Linked DNA regions of Nothobranchius furzeri. The protein of the gene in region 6 binds, or shares a complex with, the protein of the main gene of each other region. Links are inferred from orthologs where the notes say so. Each region holds a gene or a part of one and is shown on either strand. Other genes may lie near its edges. The genes, in order: cc2d2a, mks1, b9d1, b9d2, tmem231, tectonic-1 and transmembrane protein 237B.

Evidence for each region.
Region 1: tectonic-1 (region 6) and cc2d2a share a complex: the UniProt entries of both Homo sapiens proteins name them as parts of the tectonic-like complex. The link is inferred for Nothobranchius furzeri from reciprocal best matches to the Homo sapiens genes TCTN1 and CC2D2A.
Region 2: tectonic-1 (region 6) and mks1 share a complex: the UniProt entries of both Homo sapiens proteins name them as parts of the tectonic-like complex. The link is inferred for Nothobranchius furzeri from reciprocal best matches to the Homo sapiens genes TCTN1 and MKS1.
Region 3: tectonic-1 (region 6) and b9d1 share a complex: the UniProt entries of both Homo sapiens proteins name them as parts of the tectonic-like complex. The link is inferred for Nothobranchius furzeri from reciprocal best matches to the Homo sapiens genes TCTN1 and B9D1.
Region 4: tectonic-1 (region 6) and b9d2 share a complex: the UniProt entries of both Homo sapiens proteins name them as parts of the tectonic-like complex. The link is inferred for Nothobranchius furzeri from reciprocal best matches to the Homo sapiens genes TCTN1 and B9D2.
Region 5: tectonic-1 (region 6) and tmem231 share a complex: the UniProt entries of both Homo sapiens proteins name them as parts of the tectonic-like complex. The link is inferred for Nothobranchius furzeri from reciprocal best matches to the Homo sapiens genes TCTN1 and TMEM231.
Region 7: tectonic-1 (region 6) and transmembrane protein 237B share a complex: the UniProt entries of both Homo sapiens proteins name them as parts of the tectonic-like complex. The link is inferred for Nothobranchius furzeri from reciprocal best matches to the Homo sapiens genes TCTN1 and TMEM237.

What each region holds. Positions count from the first base shown.
Region 1 is NC_091748.1:39,031,130-39,034,629, reverse strand, and holds part of cc2d2a (coiled-coil and C2 domain-containing protein 2A), read right to left. Parts: intron 3,029-3,500; coding exon 2,943-3,028; intron 1,491-2,942; coding exon 1,389-1,490; intron 1,321-1,388; coding exon 1,237-1,320; intron 1,161-1,236; coding exon 957-1,160; intron 871-956; coding exon 717-870; intron 634-716; coding exon 497-633; intron 405-496; coding exon 273-404; intron 1-272. UniProt on the Homo sapiens protein: Component of the tectonic-like complex, a complex localized at the transition zone of primary cilia and acting as a barrier that prevents diffusion of transmembrane proteins between the cilia and plasma membranes.
Region 2 is NC_091750.1:66,889,933-66,893,563, reverse strand, and holds the end of mks1 (tectonic-like complex member MKS1), read right to left. Parts: intron 3,475-3,631; coding exon 3,432-3,474; intron 3,343-3,431; coding exon 3,280-3,342; intron 3,203-3,279; coding exon 3,132-3,202; intron 3,057-3,131; coding exon 2,987-3,056; intron 2,908-2,986; coding exon 2,800-2,907; intron 2,282-2,799; coding exon 2,148-2,281; intron 1,934-2,147; coding exon 1,851-1,933; intron 1,608-1,850; coding exon 1,510-1,607; intron 938-1,509; coding exon 834-937; 3' UTR 501-833; downstream 1-500. UniProt on the Homo sapiens protein: Component of the tectonic-like complex, a complex localized at the transition zone of primary cilia and acting as a barrier that prevents diffusion of transmembrane proteins between the cilia and plasma membranes.
Region 3 is NC_091752.1:49,448,100-49,452,093, reverse strand, and holds the start of b9d1 (B9 domain-containing protein 1), read right to left. Parts: upstream 2,801-3,994; 5' UTR 2,612-2,800; coding exon 2,549-2,611; intron 2,425-2,548; coding exon 2,356-2,424; intron 1,351-2,355; coding exon 1,242-1,350; intron 1,166-1,241; coding exon 1,069-1,165; intron 979-1,068; coding exon 916-978; intron 239-915; coding exon 171-238; intron 99-170; coding exon 1-98. UniProt on the Homo sapiens protein: Component of the tectonic-like complex, a complex localized at the transition zone of primary cilia and acting as a barrier that prevents diffusion of transmembrane proteins between the cilia and plasma membranes.
Region 4 is NC_091743.1:62,503,167-62,505,938, forward strand, and holds b9d2 (B9 domain-containing protein 2), read right to left. Parts: upstream 1,623-2,772; 5' UTR 1,185-1,622; coding exon 657-1,184; 3' UTR 501-656; downstream 1-500. Other genes in the region: poc1a (POC1 centriolar protein homolog A), read left to right, coding at 302-316, 1,964-2,048, 2,179-2,350, 2,551-2,730. UniProt on the Homo sapiens protein: Component of the tectonic-like complex, a complex localized at the transition zone of primary cilia and acting as a barrier that prevents diffusion of transmembrane proteins between the cilia and plasma membranes.
Region 5 is NC_091744.1:86,205,128-86,208,237, forward strand, and holds the end of tmem231 (transmembrane protein 231), read left to right. Parts: intron 1-978; coding exon 979-1,122; intron 1,123-1,548; coding exon 1,549-1,630; intron 1,631-1,732; coding exon 1,733-1,838; intron 1,839-1,977; coding exon 1,978-2,140; 3' UTR 2,141-2,610; downstream 2,611-3,110. UniProt on the Homo sapiens protein: Transmembrane component of the tectonic-like complex, a complex localized at the transition zone of primary cilia and acting as a barrier that prevents diffusion of transmembrane proteins between the cilia and plasma membranes.
Region 6 is NC_091741.1:109,995,319-109,999,379, reverse strand, and holds the start of tectonic-1, read right to left. Parts: upstream 2,801-4,061; 5' UTR 2,621-2,800; coding exon 2,371-2,620; intron 2,292-2,370; coding exon 2,171-2,291; intron 1,908-2,170; coding exon 1,774-1,907; intron 1,332-1,773; coding exon 1,183-1,331; intron 1-1,182. UniProt on the Homo sapiens protein: Component of the tectonic-like complex, a complex localized at the transition zone of primary cilia and acting as a barrier that prevents diffusion of transmembrane proteins between the cilia and plasma membranes.
Region 7 is NC_091742.1:64,222,251-64,226,513, reverse strand, and holds the start of transmembrane protein 237B, read left to right. Parts: upstream 1-1,463; 5' UTR 1,464-1,647; coding exon 1,648-1,671; intron 1,672-1,857; coding exon 1,858-1,887; intron 1,888-4,263. UniProt on the Homo sapiens protein: Component of the transition zone in primary cilia. Required for ciliogenesis.

The DNA.
Region 1 (3,500 bases), on a different chromosome or scaffold from region 6:
TGTTTATGATTAAAGATGAGATCAATTAAACTACAGAAGCATTTGTATATTAAAAGATTCTGAATGCGTTGCATTTTCTCTAAATCTGCCCTTTGTCCCTGTCCGTTAGCAAGAATGATCTAATTACAGCCTGCCAGTACAGCGGATGGACTCCTATTATTCCTACTTATAGGAATAAATCTTTACTAAAGGGAAGCCTAATAAAAACAGCAAAAATGAAAAATCTTCCTTTTATTAACCCTGCGGTTTCATTTCTTGGTAACTAAAACTACCCTCCGGTAAACAGTTTGCAGTGCAGGATGAAGGTCCTCCTCCATGTCAGCCAGTGGCGGTCGCGTGGACGATTCTTTCACAGGGTCAGGCAGAGTGATGATCCTCCCATCATCTCCAAACCACTTCCTTCCCTTCAGGAGAAACAAACATCACAAAAACACGTTTGAATATTAACATCAAAATGAGGACAGTTATTTGTTTGAGCAGAGCAGCAAGCTGACACCTCGTCCATTTTCAAAAGGCGGTTCTCTAGAATGTTCTCATTGGTCAGAGATATGGCGGGCCTCTTTCCCACGTAGAGACCCTCCTCCTCCAGGAAGCGAGGCTTCATGTTTTCAGGCAGTTTGACCGAAGCTGGCACTGCAACACAACGAATCATAAAGACACGGTTCCAGGTAACGAGCAGCCGGCTGTACGTCACCAGTGTGAATCACATGTTTTACCAGTTCGAAAGCTCGGTGTGAACAGTTCACTCTCCTGCTGAATACGTGTGTGGTAACTGACATATTCAGCCTTCTTCACTACCAGGAAGTCTTGAGGAGAATGATCAATGACAAACAAGTCATCTGCATTTTGAACCAGGTGAGCTTCATCGCTCTTAAGCAGGTGCAGAAAACCAGAGTGAATGTTTTAGAACAAGTAAAAATAATCATCTGAGCACAATCCTCTCACTGATGTGGTACCTGGTTTACAGTTTCATCTTGATCATCTTCCCCTCCGGCATCTTCTTCCACCTCAGCTGCCTTTCCTTCCTCCTCATCTCTGGCCTCCTCTGCAGATTTTCTTCGTATTTGCCGTTTTCTGCTGAGCCTCTCATTCGGACGATCAGGCTCAAAGTTGAAAGTAAAGAAATTGTATGACTCCTCAGCCGTTGGGAGGTCTCTCACCTGCACGTACAATATTAATGGTAATTATAAAACTCCATACAAGTGTTTTTGTACAGTCTGAATCTAAGTGTCTTACTCTTCTTGCAGCCTCTCTGAACTTGATCCGGTTGTGAAGAACCGGAGGGTCATCATGTCTTCCTGCACCGACTGGATCAACCTGCTAAATTAAATAATAATTCATCTCTCCAGCTATTTTGGAAACCAGCGTTCTTTTGTGGTTGACCTCACCCTTGTGTCAAACCTCGTCACGGTGTCTCTGTCTCTGAGCTGTTGGAGTCGACTGGGTGACTGTACAGAAGCCTCTAGCTGTTGAAGCTTCTCTCCTTTAGACTGGAACACAAGATCCAGGCGTGATGTGTCAAAAGGGTCCCTTGCACATGTAGCGACATGAATGGCCTCATTTGTGACCCAAAGGTCACACACACTTCCCCAGCTGGGTCACGCTGTCCTGGCTGAACTTCAGTCCACAGCTTATCCATCACAGGAGGCGTAAAGTCTGCTAAAAACCATCTTTTCTCTGTCTGCTGTTCCGTCCAAGACGAAGGACACTTCAAGATTTAAAATAATCATTTTTAATAAACTCTTTACACTGTTTATTTCAAGGTTCATACATAATCATCATGGTTCATTATAAATGTATTTCATTACTGAAATGACTTATTATTCTTTGGTTAATAATAATAATTATTGTTTATGATAATCAGTAATGTTTGATCAGTAACCAGAAGGTCAAGTACACGTGTACACACCATGCAGGGTAAAGGTAACTGCACCTCACACGTCTTTGCTCCATAACCAAAGCTTTCTATCTCTGAGAGGGCGTGTCCTGAGTTTTAATAAAACCAAAAACTCCTCAGTTGAAGTTCAGTCCTGAACCAACCAAAGTCTCTCCGTGGCACGAGAGTTCCACGAGGATAAGGGTCGGCCGCCCGAAGCCTCCACCTGTCACGCCGATAGAATCGCTCAGAATAAACACCACCTGCACCAGCGGATGCAAAACTCCTTCAGAGTTAAGCCAGACGCAAGCTCAACACTGTGTACCCTGCGACAACTCTTGGACCAGAGAGTCGGTACCACTCGGGTCTCCCCTACCGGACCGAGTACCCAGAGGCTGACAACATCCTCCCTTTGACCTCCGGATCCACACAGAGGGTCGTCTAACTGGGTGAGGTGGAACACAGATGGCGTCCGACGCTGTTCTCTCTAAGAAACAACTCAGTTAGCTGCAACAACTCTTTCACCCACAACGTGTTTCTCTCTCTGAAAGAAAACTCTGAGAATCCATCCACGCATTCCACTTTAGTTTTCACCCAGACACAGGTTGCTTTTAATACCAAGTTTTAATATCAAAGCTGTTACAAATGGTCATCTTTAAATTATTAGTAATAAATTCTTAACTTTTTAAACCTGACTCTTCTTTGAAATGAAACACAGAGTGGTGTACATTTGGTTATTGAATAAGCAAAGATTCCATTAAGTCTTCTGTTTAATAAAATTTCTTAAATTAAATATTAATCTTTGGATTAAATATAGACCAAGACAGTTGGTGTAGGAACTTCTATCGATTGTATAAATATCCTGGATATTTATACATGATATAGCTTCATATGCTAATATTGTTGCTCTTTCTCAGGATCTAACAAAGCTGATAGCAAACAGCTTTAAATCCAAGTATGTAGATTGTCCATGCTGCACAGACTAAAATGTCTATGTGTGACTGTATGATTTAAATCCTAATTACAATAACAACGTATTTGCATGCCAGAACAAAAAAGTACTCACCCGTGCCGCTCTGAGCTTCTCCTGCAAGTGCTGTGTCACAAAGGTGTCTAAAAACACGGAGCTGGAAGGCTGTGGGGTTGCTGAACCTTGAATAAAAGCACATTGGGAAACAATAACTCCAATTTTTGTTCAGCATTGTGTGTTACTTGTTAATTCATCTGACAGAGCCAAGCAGACGTGCATACCTCTGTTGATCAAAACTAATGTGGTTGTTCACTCCTCTTTCTCTCTGATATCAGTTTTCTCATTATAAACTATATTAAAATGTCTGTTCATGTCTGAAGCTACAGGGAAAATGTTGAGAGAGCTGAATCCTCCTTTACTCAAATACCTGTACTACTGGTGAAACCTGATTCAGAGCTGGTGCTAACATGTGAGTCAGTCACAGCTGGACAATGTTAAAGGTCCACTTCACCCATACTACTAATACATTTGCAGTGGCCCATAATAGGAATGAATGCCTTGTAAGTCTTTCACTGGGGTAAAAAAAAAGCTCTGGTGCACCTGCTTGAAGACGTAGCATTAAGCTAGAGGAGAAAGTAGTTTCAGATGACAGGA
Region 2 (3,631 bases), on a different chromosome or scaffold from region 6:
CTATGTACGAAAAAAAGCATCAACACTCATTCCGCAGTAAACAGCCCCAAACAGTGAATCTAAATAACCACCAGGGTTTTAGTTTCAGAAAACCGATTTCAGTTTTCGTTTGAGCATTAGGCTAAATCTGACACAAAAAAGAGAAAAGCGACCAGCGGCCCAGTTCCCATCGCTACATGCCTACTAGAGATACGCTAAAGCAGCCATACATTGACTAAGACACACAATTTACACATCAAAAAATTACACGATTGCAAAATTAACGTGAAATATGTGTACTTAAGTACCTGGTCGTGTGTGAAACTGAGAGGGAAAATCGCTGAACGGTCCTTTCCCTGGTTGGAGGAAGATGGAGAATGGTGCGTTTACAGTCATGGAAAATTGGACTACTTCCCTTTGGAGCTAAAACGAATGCTACGTTGGAGGACAACCCGCAGTCAGATAATGCGGGTTTCAGTCCATTTGTTTTGTTTTAAAAATGGGGAAAATATACCACTTCATTGCATATTTAATTTTTATTTAGTTAACCTTTATTTCAGATAAGAAAAATAAACAGTAAAATAAATAATAAAAGAAAACAGTACCTTGAATTTTGTAAAAAAAAACTGCTGGTATTATAGTACATTTATTAGACAAGTGTTATGCTCCATCTCCTAATGTTGGTGTAATAAATCGTTTCTGATGATTTTTTAAGTTAATAACATTTGTCAATAAAATGTCAGTTACAGTCTGAGAAGAACAGAAGATGACTTGAGACAAACTTTTCAGTTTTGGAAGCTTGTGCAGGATCCTAAATGCATCTTGAAATGTCAGTTTTAGTGTGTTTTTGGTTTTTATGCAGAAAATTCCAGCTCGAGTTGGGAAGTAGAGTTGATGGCTTTTTGTGGGAACGTTTCTCTGGCCTCTTGTAGCTTTTTGTATGCTCTTTGAAAGGCCTCTGAAGGGAAATAAAACAAACAAACAGAAAATACAAATTAAATTAACCCTGCAGAAAAATTCCCTGTTCTTTCTACATTTTTGTCTACTTTGGGCAATCAAGCTGCAATGCAAGGCTTGGTATACAGTCCATAACATTTTGTGAGTGTCCTAACAAATCCATCTTCCAGTGGTTTGAAATAACGAGAATCTAAATGATAAATGACCCATAATTGTATAGCGCCTCTCAGAGTAAGGACTCCAAAGCGCTGTACACTACAGTGTATCATTCATCCATTCACACACACATTTACACACTGATGGTGATGAGCTACGATGTAGCCACAGCTGCCCTGACGCTCGCTGACAGAGGCTAACTGGTGGCATTATGCTAATTTTCACTCCCGCTATCATAAAATCATTTCATGGTAAAAATAATAAATGGTGGAACATTCAGAGCCTGATTACAGTAAACTTTTTCACTTAACCACACACACAGAACTCACAGCTCACACAAACAAGGATACACTCAGCAGCAAACAGGAAGTGAAAGTCTTTTAAACCCTGATGCAAATACTGTGTGAGTATGTTTACCCAGAACATTGCAAACATCTCCCTGCTGACTAAATCCTCCCAGCTGGTCGATGACTTTCTGCCTCCTCTTTTTCTGAATGGCAGCGTCAACAAAGGCCCTGAAACAACCAGAAGCGAACAGTAAACACTTTTTAAAAGTAAAGATGAAACAATTTGCATTAATAATACAGATCTTTGTGAAATTTGTAAATGGAACACTTGCATTTGCATTAAGAAATAGTGTTTTGCATGCAGTGCAGAGAGTAAATCTCACTTCTGATGTTTTATTCATTCCATATAAACTGTTAAGCTGTCAGGGAGAAAATCAGAAACAGCTGCTTGTTGATTAAACTGGTCTTTACCTGGCTTGTTGGATGCAGTTCAGATTAAATGTGACACTTCCTGAGGTTAGACTGCAGAAGCCCAAGCGACTCAGCCTGTCTCCCTGAAACCAGACACCATTGTACCAGATTAAGAATCATAATAATGCATTAATTTACTTGCTTGCTCAGGTATACACAGTTAACTTGGTGATAACGAAATAATGCTACAACTACCACAATGTATATTTTTAAAACATCATGTTTCACCCATTAAACCTTCAGGAGAAAATTTATGCAAAGGTTCAAAACCTGGAATTAGCTTAGCTGTGAGTGCACCTTGAAGGTCCCTGGTATTCTGACATAGCTGTGATCTTCAATCTCTGCAGAACCTCCGATAAAAAAGCGCCTCAATGCAGAGACCGTCCCCATCTGAAGAGGTCGCCATGTGTGACAGGTCATGGTGTGCTTACCTGGGATGCACCAGAAACAGAATATATGATGGAGATGAATGATGGAGCATGCAGAGGAATTATTATTAACTTTTCTGAACCATGTGAAGTTAAAAATCTTGCATATTTGAAATTGTTGGTATGAATTCATTTGTAGTACAATCTTTGGTGAATTATCTGAATATCTTTAAATTTTGTTTTTGAATGTTCAGTAGATAAAACTCAGTCAGGGGTGTCGAATCCTGGTCTTGGAGGGCCATCGTCCTACATGTTTTAGAGGTTTCCCTGCTTCAGCACTACTGATTTCAATCAGCAGGGGATTAGAAGGCTGATCAAACCATTTAATCTGGTACTTTGGAGCAGGGAAACAACTAAAACGTGCTAGGTAGGGTTTCTTGAGGAACAAGGGTGGACATCCCTGGACTAAAATAAAATAACACTTTTAAAGACAATTAAAAATAACAGTAATGTGAATCTAAAATCATCTAAATAATAAAGAAGTAAATTAGTCAATGAGTCTTATAGATGCAGCAGCATACCAGGAATAGCTGGAAAAAGCAGATAACCATAGCCTTCAATACGATAGCGCCCCCACAGGTCAAGAGAAAGAACTTTGAAGTAAAGCACTGGCCACTGGGGAATTAGCTCTGAAATTAAAAAAAGTGAAAACACTTAAATTTAGACTTTTAAATCACATCATTTCAAAATGAAAAGGCTCACGCTGACCTTCACTCTCTTTCTCACTCTTGTAAAAAATCTCAAAGTTGAAGGGGTAACTGAAGAAAGCCACATTTTCCTGTTGGCAGAGATCAACGTGTGTCAGTGTTCATGTTCTGAAGCAAGTAACCAGTTTCTTACGTCAAACACACACCTTCCCCAGTGATTTGGTTCGACAAGTCTGGGTAACCCCTGACAGAAACTGGGGCATTGAGCTGGACCAATCTAAAACAAAAAAGTTTACTAAGATCTCACTAAAACTAAATATCACAAATGAGTATCACAGACGGCTTGTTACTCACTATTGGGAAGATCCAGGACGAAGTGGACGTGTAAGTTATCATACTCAAATCCTTTAGCCGAGACTAAAGAGAAAAAGAGGGAAAAGAGAGAGTGGTAGTTTGAAAGTTGATGGGTAATCTAAAAAGATAGCGATCACAGCCGTCCTCCTCACCGATCTCTCCATCCATCAGGTAACGTAGCGTACCAACAGCGGGCTGGACAACAAACATCTGGTTAGCGAAAAATGTTTGCAAAGAAACAAACGTTCCCACTGGTTCATCTAATGCACTTTAATCAGTTACCAGCTCAGAGGCCTAGTGGTAGAGGGTCCGCCCTTGGACATCGGGGTTCAAACCCGGTCGGGTCGTACCA
Region 3 (3,994 bases), on a different chromosome or scaffold from region 6:
GACGTGTGACGGTCCCACGTCGTAGCCCATCTTCTTCATGTCTTTACTCATGATGTGAAAGGAGACGGTTACAGAGCCTTGGGAACAAACTCTTGTCACTGAAACGGAAAAATATATATATGTTAAAAGTTTTATTCTAGAAAGGTAAAAGAAGAAAAAGCACCACTAACCTTCTCTGCCTTCACCCTGGGCCACGACCTTAGGGTCTGTGTACTCGGGCCGCCGCCCCAGCAGCCAGCTGAACAGAAATAGGATCTTTTAGCGTGTTTCTCTGAAACAGTTCACAGCTTCCTGAATAATTTGCATCCTTCACGAAGGCCGTGCTAATGGCTAGTCCCAGTTGCTGCTGTCCTAAAACGGCACAGGTCTGCTAAAGCTCACTGTGGTTCATCACATTCTTTACAAATGTAAACATCCCCAATAAACTAGCATTTCTGGTGCATCAGGGGTCAGGTCCTGCAGGAATTTATTCATATTTCTGCTAAAATGTCTATGTGATGAGAACCTGACAGCAGTGAAATGACCTCACATGGCGATCTATGACATTTAGAGGCCTGGATGTGGCTCATCAGTCCTCTAGGATGCACAGTCTGTTTCTCTGACCAGATAATTAGTAAGTTTTACACAAAACGCTCCTCAAAATGGCAAAAAACTCCATCAGATCTAATAATAATCACATTAATATTCAGTTTTCATGGTAAAAATGAAAAGAAAAACACTAAAAAGACTGAGAGCAACATCAAACAAGCCCGAGTGTGAATCTAAAGTATCCAAACGTGACAAAGATTAGTCAAAAATGAACCTTTAAAACGTGTGTTTGTGTTGGAAGCTTGCGTTCCACATGAGAGGAAGATGAAATATTTACTGTTCCTCTAAAGATCACGGGTTTCCAACAGCTAAGGAGACCGATCTCACCCTGTGAACTTCTGAAGTCTCCACGTGGGCTCGGGAACGAACATGGGGATGGATCTTTTATGTCTGACAAGTGAAAAACATTCAGATCTGTATCTTCAAACCGAAGTAACACATTCTGTATGCTTTTAGGTCAAACATGAAAGTAATACTGACTGTCCAGGTGTGAAGGGGATGTGCGTTGCTCCATAGCCTCTGACCACATCGTTACCAAACACATCTGGTCCGTACACACTCACCACCAGCTGAGGCCCTGGGGGACAAACGGCGTTAATCCTAAAGAGTCACACATGATGATGATGATGATGATGAAATTGTGATCTACTCACACCCAAAAGGATTTGTGCTCTTAAACGTCGTCTCCAGAGGAAAGTTCCAGACTAATCTCTGTGTCTGACTGTTTTTGCAGGTTATTTGAGTTATTCCTTCTTCCAGTCCCTGGAGAGTCACATTCGTTACAACACAACTCCATCCAGCCACCGCTGCATTAACTATCTATAAACCCTGTTCTGTATCCTTGAAAGTCACGTCTGACGTTATTGGGCAATACCATCGTCCGATATTGGCATTAAAATGTAACATCGTTGAGTTATCTTTTTTACTGTTTGAATGACACAACCTTTGCATAACATGCTCACATTATACATCAAACTCCTCAAACACATCAAAATATGGCTGATCTGAGGTTTCGTTTGTTACTGTCTGCATCTGTGTGGGTTCGTGTTCAAACGTAGTATTATCCGTAAAAAAAAGCATATTGAACATCTTTAACAATAAGGTTTATTGTTATGAACCCATCTGTAAACACAGCATCCACATATGTGGAAAAAGCCTTGAGATATCATTTTGTTTATATCTTACAAAATTGTATTATTACTCAAGGAAACGTAATTAATTATTTTTAATTTAGAGCTAAAAAAAATCCATTATCAGTTAGTATTTGCTTTAAATAATATATTTCTGAGGTCTTACAAATCCAGAACAGATAGATGAAAATTAAAAATGCACAATAAGTGCTCTCAGAACCCAAGACGTTTATTTTACATGAACGAAGAGTGGAAAAGAGACATCTTGCCCAATAGTGAGCCATATCTGATCACCCATATATTTCCTCTAGTTTCTATATTAAAACATTTCAGAAAGTTACATGTTTTTTACACTTTTGACGTCATGTGATAGTTATGTTTTTATAATATGCTAATAAATTGTTTATATAGCAGTCTGATCTGTGTAATACATACAGTCTAGTAGAAGTATACCGGCAAGAATCCGGCCAGTTTAGTCTCATTCTCACCCTTAATTCGTGCATAATAAACACTTAATGGCTTTAAAACGTTGAAAACATTAATAACATCACTATAATAAATGTATTAGTATTGTAAAGTGGTACCCAACAAGCATACTTCATGTTTCATCCTAAATGCTAATGGTTGTAATACTCACTGTGGTTGGAGCCCAGTCGTGGCCGTACACGTAACAATATTTGCAGTACAGATTGTCATGCTCTGGAAACTGAAATAAAAGACAAACATCACCATAAACAACCCGGAACATCCCGGATGAAGCACCAAACGAGCCATTGTTGCTAATGCTAACGCTAGCAGCTAAGCTAAAACTAGCTAAAAAGACGACTTACGTTCGCTCCCTCAATCTGCCCGTTCACCGTGAGGAGGAACACGCTCGGGTTGTTTGTTGCCATCGTGACTCCAGAGGTTCAAGAAAGTAAAAGTCTGTTAAATAAGTCGAGCTAATTTGGTCAGTCTGAAGCGATCCGAGGTTGTTGCTAAGGCAACGTTTACTCCTCCCTATGGCTACCGGTTTGGATAAAATTAAACGCAATTCTTATTGGTGATATTGGGCCATCACGTGTTAAAATTAATTTTAAATAGAGCAAAAAGTAATTCAAGAAATTCAGTCAAAATACTTATTTTTATAAACACCCGAAGTTTATTAAAAGGAGAAAAGAAGGCGGAGAAACAATATAAAAACTCTGGTTTAATTGTCTAGGCGTCCACTAGAGGGTAGCAAAATCAAATACACTGACTTTTAAAAATGCAGGTTCGTTCTCATTCACGACTGAAATCACTTCACGACCAAACATGTTTGAAAATCGTTTTTTAACCTTATTACCAGCCCTGAAAATGTTATTTCTCAACCATCGTTTTATTGTTTTGTAGGCCCAAAGGACTGCAATGTCTGTTCAACAATAACTGAAACAAAACAACATCCAAAACAAGAAGCCTAACTTAAAATTTCCAGCTAACTGGACACCTCCAGTGCTGTATATAAACATGGATGTCTGCTTTTCCTACTGCGCCACATGCTTGAAAATCAGAAATGAATGAAACCAAAAAATCTGCATTCCAAAGTATGTAAACCCCTCTGGCACGTGTGTCTAAATACTGTGTTTTGTTTCAGATGTGACAAAAACAGCTCTTTCTTTCAGCTGTTTCATACCCAGCAACCTTTTTTTTTTTGCTCTTCTCTCAGCTCTCTCCCACACAGTGCTTCCTGCTGTCTCCAGGGCCCACCCCAAGTCTTCTGACCTTTGCAGCTCCATAAACAGCAGCTCTTATTGCACCTGCTTCCTTTTATCTCCCATTTTGTCTGCCAAGCTCAGCACCTGTATCACTTTTTCACCTCCAGCTCTTTTTTGATCTTCGCGATCATATGGCAGGAACTCGATGCATTTAGAAATCTAGCCTAACCCTTTCTGACCACTTGGACCCATCTTCTGATGGCTACTTCCAGCAGGATCATGCACCATGTCACAAAGATTAGATAATCTCTAACTGGATCTGGAACATGACCATGGGTTCCAGTTACCAAATCTCAGTCTGGTCCAGAATCTTTGGGATGTGGTGGAATGGGAGATTCCCCTCATGGATGTAAAAGTGGGATGACATGGACCAGAATCTCTGAGGACGGGTTCCAACACCTTGTTGAATCTATGACAGGAAGACAGGGAAGGCAAGTTCTGAGAGCATAAGCCTAGAAAACTAGACAAACCAATGCGGTTCAAAAATATTTTACCCTGCAGGTCGGTCTACCCACACTCTGTGGCCTAAACAACTCTTGGTCA
Region 4 (2,772 bases), on a different chromosome or scaffold from region 6:
TTATTTTGTTATTCATCGTTTTTACATTTGATTGAAGTCTTTTTTCGACACAAACGTCCTTTAATGTCCAGCGTCCCCTTTAAGGACTCTGGCCAACAGCTCAGCGCCCAATCACGGCGCGTAAACTGAACTCTGTTGTTAGCAGCTAGCATTAGAAAAAACAATTCCAATTACCGGAGCGATATTTTCCTCCCTCTGTTCATTTCAAAACCCACAGTTGAGAACAATTGTATTTCGGTCATAATAGCCAAAGCAGCAACGAGCCTCTTTACTCGGGTGTACGTGCTAAATACCGGGAAAAATGACTTCTGCACTGGTGAGTTTGGCTAGCACTTGTTACTGTAGCAACTGAGGAAGTTCGTGTCTGATTTGTAGTAGACTACTTGTTTTGGTTAACGCACACACACACACACACATGTTCAAATATTCATAACGTTACAAATATGAAATATTAGGTATAGTTGGATTGATGGTAAACGGTAGATGAATAAGAAACCAACTTCAATGATAAGTGTTTATTTATAGCTGTATTTCAGGTGTAAAAACATCAGCATAGAAATGTACAAAACTTTGCCGTGTGTAATTTTTCAAAGGCATTTGCGACAAAACAAACTTTTTATAAGAAAACAATCAATACAACATTCTTATTTGACGTCTCAGCTCTCGACGCCATGTTTGTCAAAGTGTCTTATGATGACGCCCAGCTCCAGATTCACAGTGCCCATGGCCTCGGTGTGCAGTCTGTATCTGTCCGCTCCACTGTAAATCAGATCCGGGTTGCGGAGCTGGGGGCCTCCGCCGACAAATATTCGTGCTAGCTGCTCTTGCCAGGAGCCGAGCGGCCTCCATGTCACACAGCTTATGCGGTGATGTCCGGGGCTGGAGGGAACGTGGCAGTACCCGTATCCGTACAGCTGGTAGCGGCCGAATGAGTCCTGGTGCCACACTTGCAGATGAAGCTTCGGCCAGCCCTGGAGACCTTTGGTCGCATAGTGCAGATCAATTGGGTGGCTCCAGTAAGCCATTTCTCCGCTGTGGGGGGAATCCACCTGAGTCTGACCCTCCTTCAGCCCCGAGAGAAGACGCCATGCTCCCCCCGTATGAACTTCCCATTTGCAAAATAGGCTTTTTTGAGGAAACCCGCTGGCCCCGATGATCTGTCCTATAATGTGAAGCTCTGCCATTTCACAGCTGTCCGCTTTAACCAGAACATGCGACACACGGAGCCCGCTTTTATCAAAGGCTACAGAGCAACAAACGCAGCTCACGTCTCCTTGGTAACCCAGCCTGCCATAGTGTGCTCTTAATACAGCACTCCCTGAGCAGAGTCTGTCAGGCAGCACTTCCTGTCTAGGGCTGGTTCTATTTTTGAAGGCAAATGAGACACATTTTTATATCTTCTTGCTAAAAAAATATTACTTAACCTTTAATTTAGTAAACTAATTACGAATTTTAACCAATTTAATTAATGACGTGAAGCAGCTGTTACATAAATTACAATCATACCTGAAAGACTGAATAAAGGGTATACAAGAACCGCTGGTTTACTTTTTTCCGAATAACTATTTAACAGCGCAAGTTCAACAAGATGGCAAATGAAGTGCACTGTACTTTTTAATGTATTGTTTACATCTCAATGGTGCTTTATTTTTTAAGGTTATAAATTCTAAAAAGCTATTTATTTAGATATGCTTTCTCCTGCTTTTCCTGATGACTGTTCATCTTGCAACTTTTATATAACTCAATGGATAACTAAAGAAAGTAAAATTTATTTATATAGAACCTATTGTAGAAAAGAAAATCATGAAGTTCTTCAATGAAAATTACATAAAAAATAAAACATAAAATACAAAAAAGAAGAAAATATCATTTAATAACAAAAGTGGTCATAAAACAAATGAAAAAATAATTTCCAAACATAAACTTGTAAAATAATTGAAAATCTCTGTTGATTTCATCATAGTCTGATCCAACCCTAGAGAGAAATTTCAAGGGTCACAGGGACGTCGTGACAAGTGTGGACTTCAGCCGCAACATGAAACAAATTGGTAATATTATTATTATTTGATCTGAGCCTTTGTCCGTCTATATATTCACCTGTTATCCAGTTTGTTGTGTGCACATTGTAGTTAATACCAATCTCTTGCTTCAACCAGCTTGTGCTTCCTCCTTTCTCAGTCACAGGCTCTATGGATTCTTGTGTGATGATCTGGAACTTGAAGCCTCAGATGAGAGCTTATCGTTTCGATGGACACAGAGAAGCTGTAAACTCTGTCCAGTTTTCTCCATCTGGTCACCTTGTGGCCTCGGCCTCTAGAGACAAAACTGTACGTCTCTGGGTGCCCAGCATGTAAGTTTATACGTAGCAGCATTTTATGTTGTTTTCTTCTCATCAAGTTTCTCCAGAAATTATCACTCAAGACAAAGCTGTGGATTCCTAAAGGCAAAAGAACAAGATCTGCTGATTACTCTAATTTCATCATACCAGCGCCCTGAATAAACAGTGTGTTTGTCTGCTTTATGTATGAATAATACCTTTTGTGTTTGCAGGAAGGCTGATTCAACTGAATTCAGGGCTCACACTGCCACTGTGCGTTGTGTTAACTTCTCCGGTGATGGACAGAGCCTGGTCACAGCGTCTAATGACAAAACAATCAAAGTGTGGACGGTCCACAGGCAGAAGTTCCTCTTCTCTCTTAACCAGCACATCAACTGGGTCCGCTGTGCCAAGTATGAAACACACACACTCCCATTTAATACCACACCATGCAA
Region 5 (3,110 bases), on a different chromosome or scaffold from region 6:
TTCATACATTCTCCTGCAATGCCCTGGTCCTGTAGAATGAGCCCTGGCATTTTTACTGTGATTGCCTGTTTTTATGTAAAATCACAGAAAAAGAGAGATGCTCGGGTCGAGCAGGCTGCTTCATGCGCGTTCACGCTCAGGCATCGCCCGTAGCGTTTGCTATCCGTAGCTTTAGCAGCAGAGAGAGAGGCAGTGCCACTTTGTCGCTGTTCCTAACGCCTAGTGACAAAGCTAGCTACATTTCTGAGGACCCTTAGCTACTTTCTGTAGAACTTTCTTCTAGATATTTCCTGCTAATTAGCAACAAAATAGCCATTTTCACTCCGAACCGTTCTTTGAACGTTGTTTCAGCTGTCATCAAGGATATAAATGTTAGACAGTCTGAATGTTACTAGAGTGTAGCTCACCTTGTAAGATATCTGACTCTCGTGCAGAAGACCTGGGTTTGATTCTGGATGTGAACATAGTTTATTTAGAGTTTATTTTTTACATTAATGGTATATTTTTTACAGTAAGATGCCCAAATTTTTATTTGAGACTCGCTGAACGGCATTGAATTCACAGATAAAAAAGATGTGGGTTCAACTTTCATTTTGGAACAATTTTTCAAGCAAGGGAAGGGAATGATCTGAGCATGCAGGAGGACTGACCCGTCATAAACCTTTGTCGGCTGTGCTGAAGAGAAAGGTACAGAACCAAATTATTTAATTAATTATCTGTGTGTTCTTTTGTCCTCCGGGCCACACACACACACCTACACACACACACACGGGACTGTCTCAGCTGTTATTTTCGTTAAGGAGTGTGCACGTACAGCGTGCACGCCTCGTGTACGAGCCTACTACTGAAGCTGCTGTTATGCTTTTGGCCTGAGGGGGCAATCGCAGGCATTAAAATTCAAAAGTCCGAAAAGTCCCTTTAAATTATTGTTGTTTAATTTAATAGTCAGAGCATTTCTATTTCTCTGGTTTCTGCTAGCGGATGTCGACAGTGGTGATGCAGAGTCTGGCTTATGTGCAGCACTCCTCACCTGTACCTGGAGTTAAACTGTTCATCAGTGGAGACCTGAGGCTTCAGCAGAGGACACCGCTTCCTCATCGGGGCCTGTACAACATCTACAATGTGAGAATAGTGTTTATTCCTTATTTATATTAATTTATCCATCCATTGTCTATACCCGCTTGTCCATGCGGGGTCGTGGGGGGGCTGGTGCCTATCTCCAGCAGTCTCTGGGCAAGTAGGCGGGGTACACCCTGGACAGGTTTCCAGTCCATCACAGGACAAACAACCATGCACACACACCTGCGGGCAGTTTAGAAAACCAATCAGCGTGACAGTCGTGTTTTTAGACTGTGGGAGGAAGCCAGAGTACGCAGAGACACCACACATGCACAGGGAGAACATGCAAGCTCCATGCAGAAAGACCTCAGGTTGGGATTTGAACCCAGGACCTGCTGCAAGGCAACAGCGCTAGCCACTGCTCCACTGTGCAGCCCTATGTTAAATTAATATGTTAAAGTATTATTTTTTGTGTTTACTGACCTAAAGGTGTCAGTGATCGATGGCACCAGCCCCTTTGCAAGTTCCTATGACCTCAGCAACATTATCAGGAGCTACCAGGAGAGAAACGGTAAGTAAGCAGAGGGATTTATTCTCTGCCGACGCCCACGGTCTCGGGTTTTGTATAATGAAGTATTTATAATTTTATAATTGTCTTTTCTTTTTTATTTAGTAACAACTGTGCTGTCTTGTCCAATGCCAGTGTGGACTATAGGACATGCTGCTGGTTCACCTTTTGAGCTTAACGCTGAAATCCGCTACCCGCTGGAGCTCATCAGATATCCTTTCATATCTAAAAGATCACCAAAAGGTGTTGTCTTGTGACTGATTTACCTTTTCGTCTTTAGGAGACGGATTACATAAACCATGACTCAGAGTTATAATTCTTCTAACGTTTTCTTAACTGCCTCCCTCCACTTATCGTCCTGGCTTCTGGGAAACCATCAAGTTTGCTTGGATCCAGTATGTCAGCGTTCTCCTCATCTTCTTGTGGGTCTTCAAACGCATCCAGAGATTTGTCTTTCAGAACCAGGTTGTAACAACCGTACCCATACCTGTAGGAAAACCTCACCTGTCGTGATGCAGAGCTGAAAGTTTATCTTTTAGGTTTTGACCAGATGACACCTTTTGTCAATTTGCTTCATGTCTGTAATGTTTGTTCTTTGGACTTCTCGTTGTTGATTCAGCTATATGTTATTGTCTAATCTGTTTATTCTGTAGGCTTAAGCATTCTAAAAGATGTTGTTATAAGATCATATACATCCTGATCTGCATCGGGGAACAAACTGTTCTTCTTTGTCACATTAAAACAACTTACACATCGTAGATATTACAAATCCTATGTTAAATTACGTGAGTTTCAACAGTTTAGTAACTTTTTTCATCTTATGTAGATTTTTCAACTTTTTTCTTATTTTTAAATCATTAAAAAAATTTTGTTTGATTTTAGCGGCTCAGTTGTAAAGAACATAAGGATATATTTTCTATATTGTTGTTTTTTTTTACACATTTGAAACTGGTTTTGACAAAAATAAAGACTTTTTAAACTTATTATAGCTTTACTGGGTATTTATTAAACAACGTGTGAAAGGAATGAGTCGTTTGGAACTATCATGAGTAAAATAGGAGTTCTCGTATTAAAGCTGTTAAAGCACAACTTCTTTCCTAGGATTAGTTTTTAATCACGTGTTTGTGCTTGATGAAAAAGATTCAGTGGTCAAATAATGTAAAAACTAATTTTCACAGACAAAACTTCAAACATGTAAGCAGGCTTATCCCTATAGTGAACACAGTGGTGGCAGCATTATGGTGTGGGGGTTGTTAAGAAGCAGAATGAAAGAGACTGTTGAGAACTGAGGCCTAAGTAAATGCAGCCAAATCCTATAATCCTCTGCCTCTCCTAAAATAAAATAAATCTGTGAAGATGACAGCTCTGGTTTTCATTTTGAGAGTGTTGTGGATTCTTAAAAAATTCATGCAGCAGACTAAAGACTTGATTCAGCTAATTTCCGTTCTCTACTTTGTCTTCTGGAATCCTGACACATTCTGTT
Region 6 (4,061 bases):
TTAACACACTAGATCATTCGCCCCTGGCGTAGACACGAATATGTAGACACCTCATTATGTGCTGGAGAGCGTAACAGCTTCGCCGCCATATTGGTTGGGTCTCTTTGCTCTCCAAATCCAACTAGAGTCAACGCAGAATGACGGCTGCAAAAGCCATGATTGTATTTTAATTTATTTTATGTAATTATATTTATATTAGAACTGCCATGCAATATCATGTGTCTGATTTTGTGAAAAACATAATTAAATGTGTTCTTTAGTTAGCTAAACGCCTTCCTCAGTAGAAATAAATGCACTGGGGGCGAATGGAGACCCATCCAAGATGGCGGCCAGCCACTACAGTAGCTCCAATAGGCAGCACCAGCCCACGGGGGGTCTACGTATGCCTGTGGTCCATGGCACCTAAAAGTTTGACCTCTGACTTCAACTACCACCAAATCACTCTCAAACCAAACAGCATGGAAAAGGACATCTTTGATTCTGATTTGACATTTTTAGTTTCTCTTTCTTGTTTTTGCTTTAATGATCATATTTAGCACTATCATAAGCAGTTTTTAAACGTATACATTGAATTGCATATGCAGGATTGTTTTTCATAACTAATTTTTACGACACTGGACCCATTAATACTTGTTCCGTCCAACTAAGGCCCAATCTCAATACTCTCCCTGTGGTCTTCAGCCAAGTGCATTTGGAGAAAGTGCGCTGGAAGGCTTCGAGTGCGTAGTACACAAGTGTGCAAATAATTACAGAATTGAGACAGGGAGCATTGCGTATGCCGGGATGCTGGTTGCTGTGATACTTTGTTTAAAAACATTTATTAAAAACTTTCAAACAAACAACCAAACAATTATTTGAAATAAATTGGCATTCTTCGCTGCTTTGTCTTAAAGTTTCAGAGCATCAACTAATTGTTCTAAAATTAACTACTTTCATTAGAAAATACATATTTTCGGATATGGAACTTGAGCCCTTTCTCCTGCAGCAATGGATTGTGGGTAATATACTTCACTCAAGTCTGCATCGCTGCAGACTTGAGTGAAGTGTGGATCATGGGTGCAAAAGGGGCATGATCAGCTTATGCATTTGAGAATCGAGACACCCTACGCACTCGCAGCCGTGGTCGGGATCGTGCAATTGAAGGGCACGAGGGCGAGTATTGGGATTGGGCCCAAGACTCACTTGGTATCCACGTGAGTCCTGGACTCCTGCCGGGGCTGCCTGATCTGAGTTTTCCATCCTCCACAGAAAAGGAGCAAACAGTTTAAAGAGCAGGTCAAAGTTGGTATCAGTTGGAAGAGCTGGAGAGGGATGGGACAATCCATCAATACCTACGGAGAGGAATATCACACAGCAGGTGAGACAAACCCCTTTTAGAAAAATAAACCTGGAAGTAAAACAAACTAGAGAACTTTAATCTGGTTTTAATCATGGTTTACTGTTTAGGTTTTAACTTAGTTTATACGTCCTGATTGATTCTTTATTTACACATAGCTGAGTGTGAGAGCTTTTCTCAGTTGATGTTTTCTATCAGTCATCTAGAGACCCGACACACACTGCGCAGTGCTAAAATTAAAGTTATTAAATAACAATTTAATTAGGGGACTGGTCACCTGTCCAGGTGCGTCACCACCTCTCACTTAATAACAGCTGAAGATGGGAGCCAAGTCCCCATCACCCTTAATGGGATCAAGTGGGCCTAGGTGGACGCGGTCAAACTGACTAAATTCAAACAGCTTAACTGGTTCTTCCTAAGGAATTCTGGTGTCTTACGATTCTGTGATCGGATGCAGAAGATGTTGGCGTTGTCCTCCTTCTGGACCGCTGACTGCAGCTCTGAGTAGCCATTCACGTTGGTCCTTAGAGTGTAGTATGCTGCCTCCTGGTTACACAGCTGCTGGCTGCCACTGCAGAGTTGCAGAGACAAGTCAGGCAGCTTTTGTGTAGCTTAATAAGAACACACAGCAACATTCAATAGGAAGAGATGTAATTATCAGGTCTCAGAGCCTATTTAGGTTCTTCTGCTCCATGTGGCTCCTTAATCACCACCACTGTGTGATGTAGCTGAGCGCCACACCTGTTCCCAACCAGAGCAGCAGGGACCTTCCAGCAACATGAACCAAGCAGAGCAGAGGAGCCGTTCTAGGTGGAACCCAGCCAGTCCACTAACCTCCTCACAGAACCGAGCGAACAGCTGGTGAACAGAACCACCTCCCCTCCACACTCTGGGTCACAGCAGCAGTTGGTGTCACACACACCCAGGACCTCATCACAGGGACACAGGCTGTCAGCTGATGGACGGACACACACACACATTAAACCGCAGCGTGGGGACCCTGTCACAGTAGCAGAGGAAGCGTGGACGGTTACCGCTGGTCTTGGCAGACAGCAGATGGCCCGAGACAGGCAGCGGCTCGGCGGCTACGGGGGAATTCTCCGTTCCGCCGGGGCTCGGTGTGGACTCGAACTCTGTGTAATTATCCGTAACGGTGTGACTAAAGTTCGGCTCAGTCGTGTTAAACGCGCCGTTAGTTGTACTTTGGTTCGAAGCGACAGAAGTAATCGAGAGAAACAACCAGAGAGACTTTAATATGGAGAAAACAGCGGCCGAGACCGCCATGTTGTTTAGCGTTGCTATGGTTCTTCTTCTACTTCTTCCTACTCTTTTTCTTCTTCGTTGGTATTGATTCTAATTACAGCTGTTTTACCGCCGCCTAGCATTCATATGTGGAACTGCTGTTGAAAAGCACCAGCGAACTGAACCGCACAGAAAGGATTCGTTCACAGACTAAAAACAGACACTTTTGCTTCCTACACAAAGCAGCTCCACGTGCTTCACGTGTTACCAGGAAATCAGCTGTTTTTATACCTTCTTTTAATTCCCTCACACAAATACGGAAATAATAAAATAAAAATATGTTCCTGTGTCAATAAAAATTTTAAGTAATAACAGCCTTCACCACGTATGCGAATGTGTGAATATAATTTAAAAATGGATTTCTGCCTCACTTGATATTTTATTATTACTTATTCATACTTTTCTACGGAAGCGTATTACCGTCAGTGCAGGGAAAAAAAACTCAGGACCAGGATCGCGTAATAACGAGAAATGTTCTCGTTATTACGCGATATAAAACACGTTCAAACGAGAAAGTTTCTCGTTATTACGAGATCCTTTCTTGTTAAAATTAGAAACTTTCTCGTTAAAACGTGATTTATATCACGTTTTAACGAGAACTGTTTTTCGAAATAACGTGTTCTATAACTTGTAATAATGACGTACTTTTCTATTTTTTAACCCATCGGAAGGATTCAGGGTATTTCATTCTACATTCTGTTCATAGTTTTCTCCACTAGATGGAGACACAGACTGCAGGTTTTGGCCTCCTTCAGCGTTTGACTTGTTCCACTAAAGGTGAATTACAATAGATCTCGTCTTCTCCTCTGACTTGTACGTGGCCAGGGCTATGTGTGTGTGTGTGTGTGGGGGGGGGGGGGGCAGCCGACCATTCAGTTCAATCCCAGCAGGTTAAAGGTCACGTCAGAAACGTTCTTGACAAGATGCTGAACCCTTAAGTCGCCCCCCAGGAGCCATACACAATGCAGCCCCTGAGGGAGGGGTCAAATGTGGGGAAATAATTTACCCAAGAGGATCAATTAATGTATATTATTATTATTATTATTATTATTATTATTATTATTATTATTATTCCTCCACTGTCCGCTGCTGGGTTTGGCTCTTTCCCTGCTCTCACCAGGAGGGTTTCCAGCTGGACGTCTCCTCCATCAAACTCCGGAGGCCCTCTGACAGAGAGTGGATCAAGCCCAGATCTAGTGAGACTCAGCCCCTACAGGTGTCAGGTGTAAACCTGTGGCTTCCTGTCAGGTGTCTTTAACCACCAGCTGATCCTCTGCCATTGGCTGAGCGGGAGAGAACATGCAGGGGTGAGAGAACTGGCCGACAGCGCTTTTTAGGGGTTTTGGGCTGGATGTGAATGAAACACCAAAGGTTTTTGGTTCACTAAGAAGCTTACAAGCATCAGCAGCTGGTGATGAAAGGA
Region 7 (4,263 bases), on a different chromosome or scaffold from region 6:
TTACTACGTTAGAATGTTGTTAAGAGGCTAAAAGTTTTAGGCCAACTTGTTTTCCATATTTACTATAGAAGCTTTAACTTGGGTCTGACACAGCTTAGGAATACACAACTTGGGGTACATATGGGTTAGTTACTGGAGACCTGGTTGTTTTCAAGAGACTTGATACCACTCAGTCTGACGCAGTTGTTTTTTCACCCTCCTTGCATGCTGGTGGTGTTCAGGTGGAACTGGTGACTAGTGTGTACGGCAGACCCACCTCAGTCAGTTAGCCCCAGGGCAGCTGTGGCTACATTGTGACTCATCACCACCAGCATGTGAATGTGTGTGTGGATGAGTAAAAGACTGATGTATTGTAAAGTGCCTTGAGGGGTTTAAAGACTCTAGAAGGCACTATGCATACCATCTCCCATTTAGCTGTTACCTACAAGAGTATTTACAAATTAAAAAGTCTCGTTCACTTTTTTTTTTCAAGAAATGTGTTTTGGTCTCTATTATGACTGAATCCCTTTTTAGTCGTTTTCTGTACAAAAAATGCTCTGGTGTTGATTACAAGTCTTTCTCATTAATATTCATGATATGCCAACATCTAGCCTCTGATTGGCTTACAGCAATGTTAACAAAACCAAGAATACTATAAAATTGTTTTAAAGAACTATTATAGCTTTAAAATCTTCATAGTGTGTCCCTTTTAAATAAATGTGCTCATGGCGACAGACATGTTTTTTGTATTGGTATAACGCTGCATGTTTTTCTTAGCTTTTTAAACTACCGTAGTTTGTTGTTCATCTTTCCTGATTCAACAACGGTGAGCAGGATGCAATAGCGGTGAGTGACCGCTAGAGAGAGCTAAGTGAACATGAAACTGATTCCCACTTCACACTTGTTTCTCAATAATATGCAGCATTATTGAAAATGCAGCATTATTGAGAAAAGCATTTCACTGTATTAGGAGATTAAATTCTATCAAGTGTCATTAGTGACAAAAATATCTTTGTAGTTCTTAAGATATGTTTTTTTAAAAAGCATAATTTGTTTAAAACTATTAAAAGAGAATACATATTTGTTTGTCGTATCTCAAAAAGTTGTATTTAAAAACTTAAATTCTTATGAATAGATCGTTTTTCCTGCACATTTGTGTTCATATTTATTGTAATTGTGACTTGCTTACAACAAGGATCAGGCCATGAGGCAGCAGCAAAAGCAGAACATATCTTAGAACTTGATGAAAAGACACATAAAACAATTACAGACATAAAAAAACATTTTCGCATAAAAGTATAATCTACATGAAAAACACTGAGCTTTCCAGAAAAGATTAGCCTCCTTACAGGGTGAATCCATGTGGGGTCAAAGGTTATCCAACAGTCCCCGTCTACGGTTTCAACCTCTTCCACTGACAAAAAATGATTTCTATTCTATATTAATAACAATAATACATTTTGATATTTACGTCGATCCGTCGCTTTTATTTTGAAGACGTAAACATTGCTCTCGCGCGCACATCCGGTGTCCAAGAACGCTGCTCCAAACACAATTAGCGCGCTACTCGAGTTTAAAAACATTTTTGGAGTAGAATCTGCTTCTATTTTGATGAGGGTGTGACCGGGTTGCTTATTACTGTCGTGTTGTTCGGTGAAAAGATTAAGAATGGACGCAGGACACGCAAACGTGGGAAGTTTTTACCCTCTTTAGCTAGCCTTCATAGTGTTTTGTGATTTAAATACGTCAAATAATATCAATGCAATCCAGTCAAATGCTTTATTATTGTGTTAAGTTGTTCGTTTGAAGTGTTTATGTGATAATATTAATGTTGTACGCGATAATGCTCGAACTAATGTAAGTTCTTTGTATGTTCAGAGGGTCAGGGAGCTCCCTCCGCTAACACAGGTCAGTGACTCACACCCACGTACGCAGCCTCATCATTGTTTGTTCTCATATTATATGAATTACTTACTGCAGCCGCAGTGTCATAACAAACGGAGGGACCGCCGATCATACTAGCGTGCTCTTCCCCGGCTGCGCCATTCACACACTCACCACGTTTCCATGGCAACAGACGGTTAGATGATAGATGTTGTGTAAGAGAAGCATAACTCCAGTAACACCCACACAAATACTAAACGTCTAATGTAACGTTGGGACATATTTTAACTATGTTATTTTGCTACTGTAAGGAGTTTCAAAAATGTTTTTAAAGCTTTTTAAATCGTGAAAGCACGAACCGGAAGTCAGCTTTTACTTTGAAAGCAGCACCTCAGCTAGAAAGCGGAAGTACTGCAAATTTTATCGTAAAACGTTACAACGTAAAAGTAATGGTCCTTATTTGAGGAGTTTTAAAAGAAAATATGCTATTGGAAGATTTTAAATATTTTGTAAAATATCTTCATAACGGTGAAGAAATATTCAAAAACGTCTAAATCTTTATATTGTTATAGAAGTGTTTATTTTTATTACTAACATATTGCTTTGTCTAAAGAAGCACCTGCTTCATTGTGACTGCTGAGCATTAATAAATGTACACGATGGAAGTTAGAACTAGAAAGTCAGGTCATTTAAAAATGTTTCAGATAAGCAAAAAATGTAAATATCAGTCAAATATAACCTGGGTTAACATAAAACGAAGGAGTAGAAAGCTATCCAAAACAACTTTGCCCTATCTTTAAACACTTTTCCCCTTTTGTTAAATTAACCCCTTATCTATAAAGATAACTTCACTTCCCCTGTTGAAGAATTGTAGCATTAAGAAATCACTTCAATAGAATTTGTCTGATAGCATGAAGAAGGAAGGTTAAAAGACCTCAAAAAGCAACAAACCATGCCCCGTTCGTAAGGGATTCAGGAAAAAAGGAATCCAGAACGACATCTGAATCCCCTCAGGTCTGAGTACCATGACAAGCCCACTACTGACCAAGGATTTACCAACAACCACCATATAGCTTTATGAAACTTTGGAGCTCTTTGTTTATTATTTATATACTTAAATATGCAAGTGAGGCCTTTGAGTAGTTTACTGTTGTACCAGTATCATTAGAAAGATTAAACCAGATTCCACTGAATCCTTTCATTTTAAACTTCTCTGTAATAAACCACTTCACTGCTGCTTCATCTGACCTTTGACCCCAAGTAATCCTCAGTCCTGCCAGATTTAGCCGAGGATTTCAGAGTTGGGATGACGCGTGTTGCTTTGCTTCACTTTGACTCAGTTCTTAGTTGAAATAACCAGAACGACGACGGTAAGATTTTTGTCATCTTGCCTGTTTGATATGATCTTGTCACTAACGAGAGTCGGTGCTTTAAATACACTCATGCCGTGTGCTTGTCTGGTTTTGTAGGAGAGGATGTGACTGTTTGTAAAAATGGATTTACTGAAATGTCTTGCCACGGATCTGGTTTGTATTTGGCGATACCACTTCTGAAAATTCAGTTTCATTAGAGAAAATAACTGCTAGCTAGATGTTTTTTTTTTTTTGCCCTTTTCTGACCGACATGCCGTGTTTGACAGTTTCCAGTTAGATTTAATAGCACTTCATACTGAAAGGTAAACATGCATGTCTTTCATTTAACGTGTTGCCTTTAAATTCCATTAGTTTGCAATACATTACTCTAATGTTGTAACCAGCGGGGATCCAAAGGGAATATTTTTATTTTGAGGAAAGCACTTTGATTAGTGCTTTGCACACTCCTCAAAACTTAGTTTAGGCAGCATAATTATTCATTTTCACTTTTAAACAGGGGTCAGTGGCTGAGTTACAGCGGGCTAACATACTGTTAAAAAGAGAAATTACAAAGGCTAAACATGAATATAGAAGACAGCTGGAGAACAAAATGGCAGCAAATAAACTTGGTTCAGCATGGACTAGCATGAGAATTATTGCAGGACATGGCTCCGAGGCACAGTACACAACCATCTGTCTAGACCCGTTTAACACTGACAGGGAACTAGCTAATGCCCTGAACAGTTTTGATTGTCGGTATGACGCTCTGGATTTCAGCGGGGAACAGGGTGTCCTGAGGGAGAAATTTAAGGATAGTGACCATTTTAAAGTTGACATGGAGGACATAGGTAGGGCCATCAGGACAGTTAGAGTGGACAAGAGCCGAGGACCAGATGACATTTGTGGCCACTTACTTAAATTCTGTGCATACCAGCTGACACCTATACTGCACCACATTTTTAATGAATCTTTACGGTTACAAAAGTTCCCTGAACCGTGGAAGGATGCAGAAATTGTACCGATTCCTAAGGTGAGACATCCAGGTATT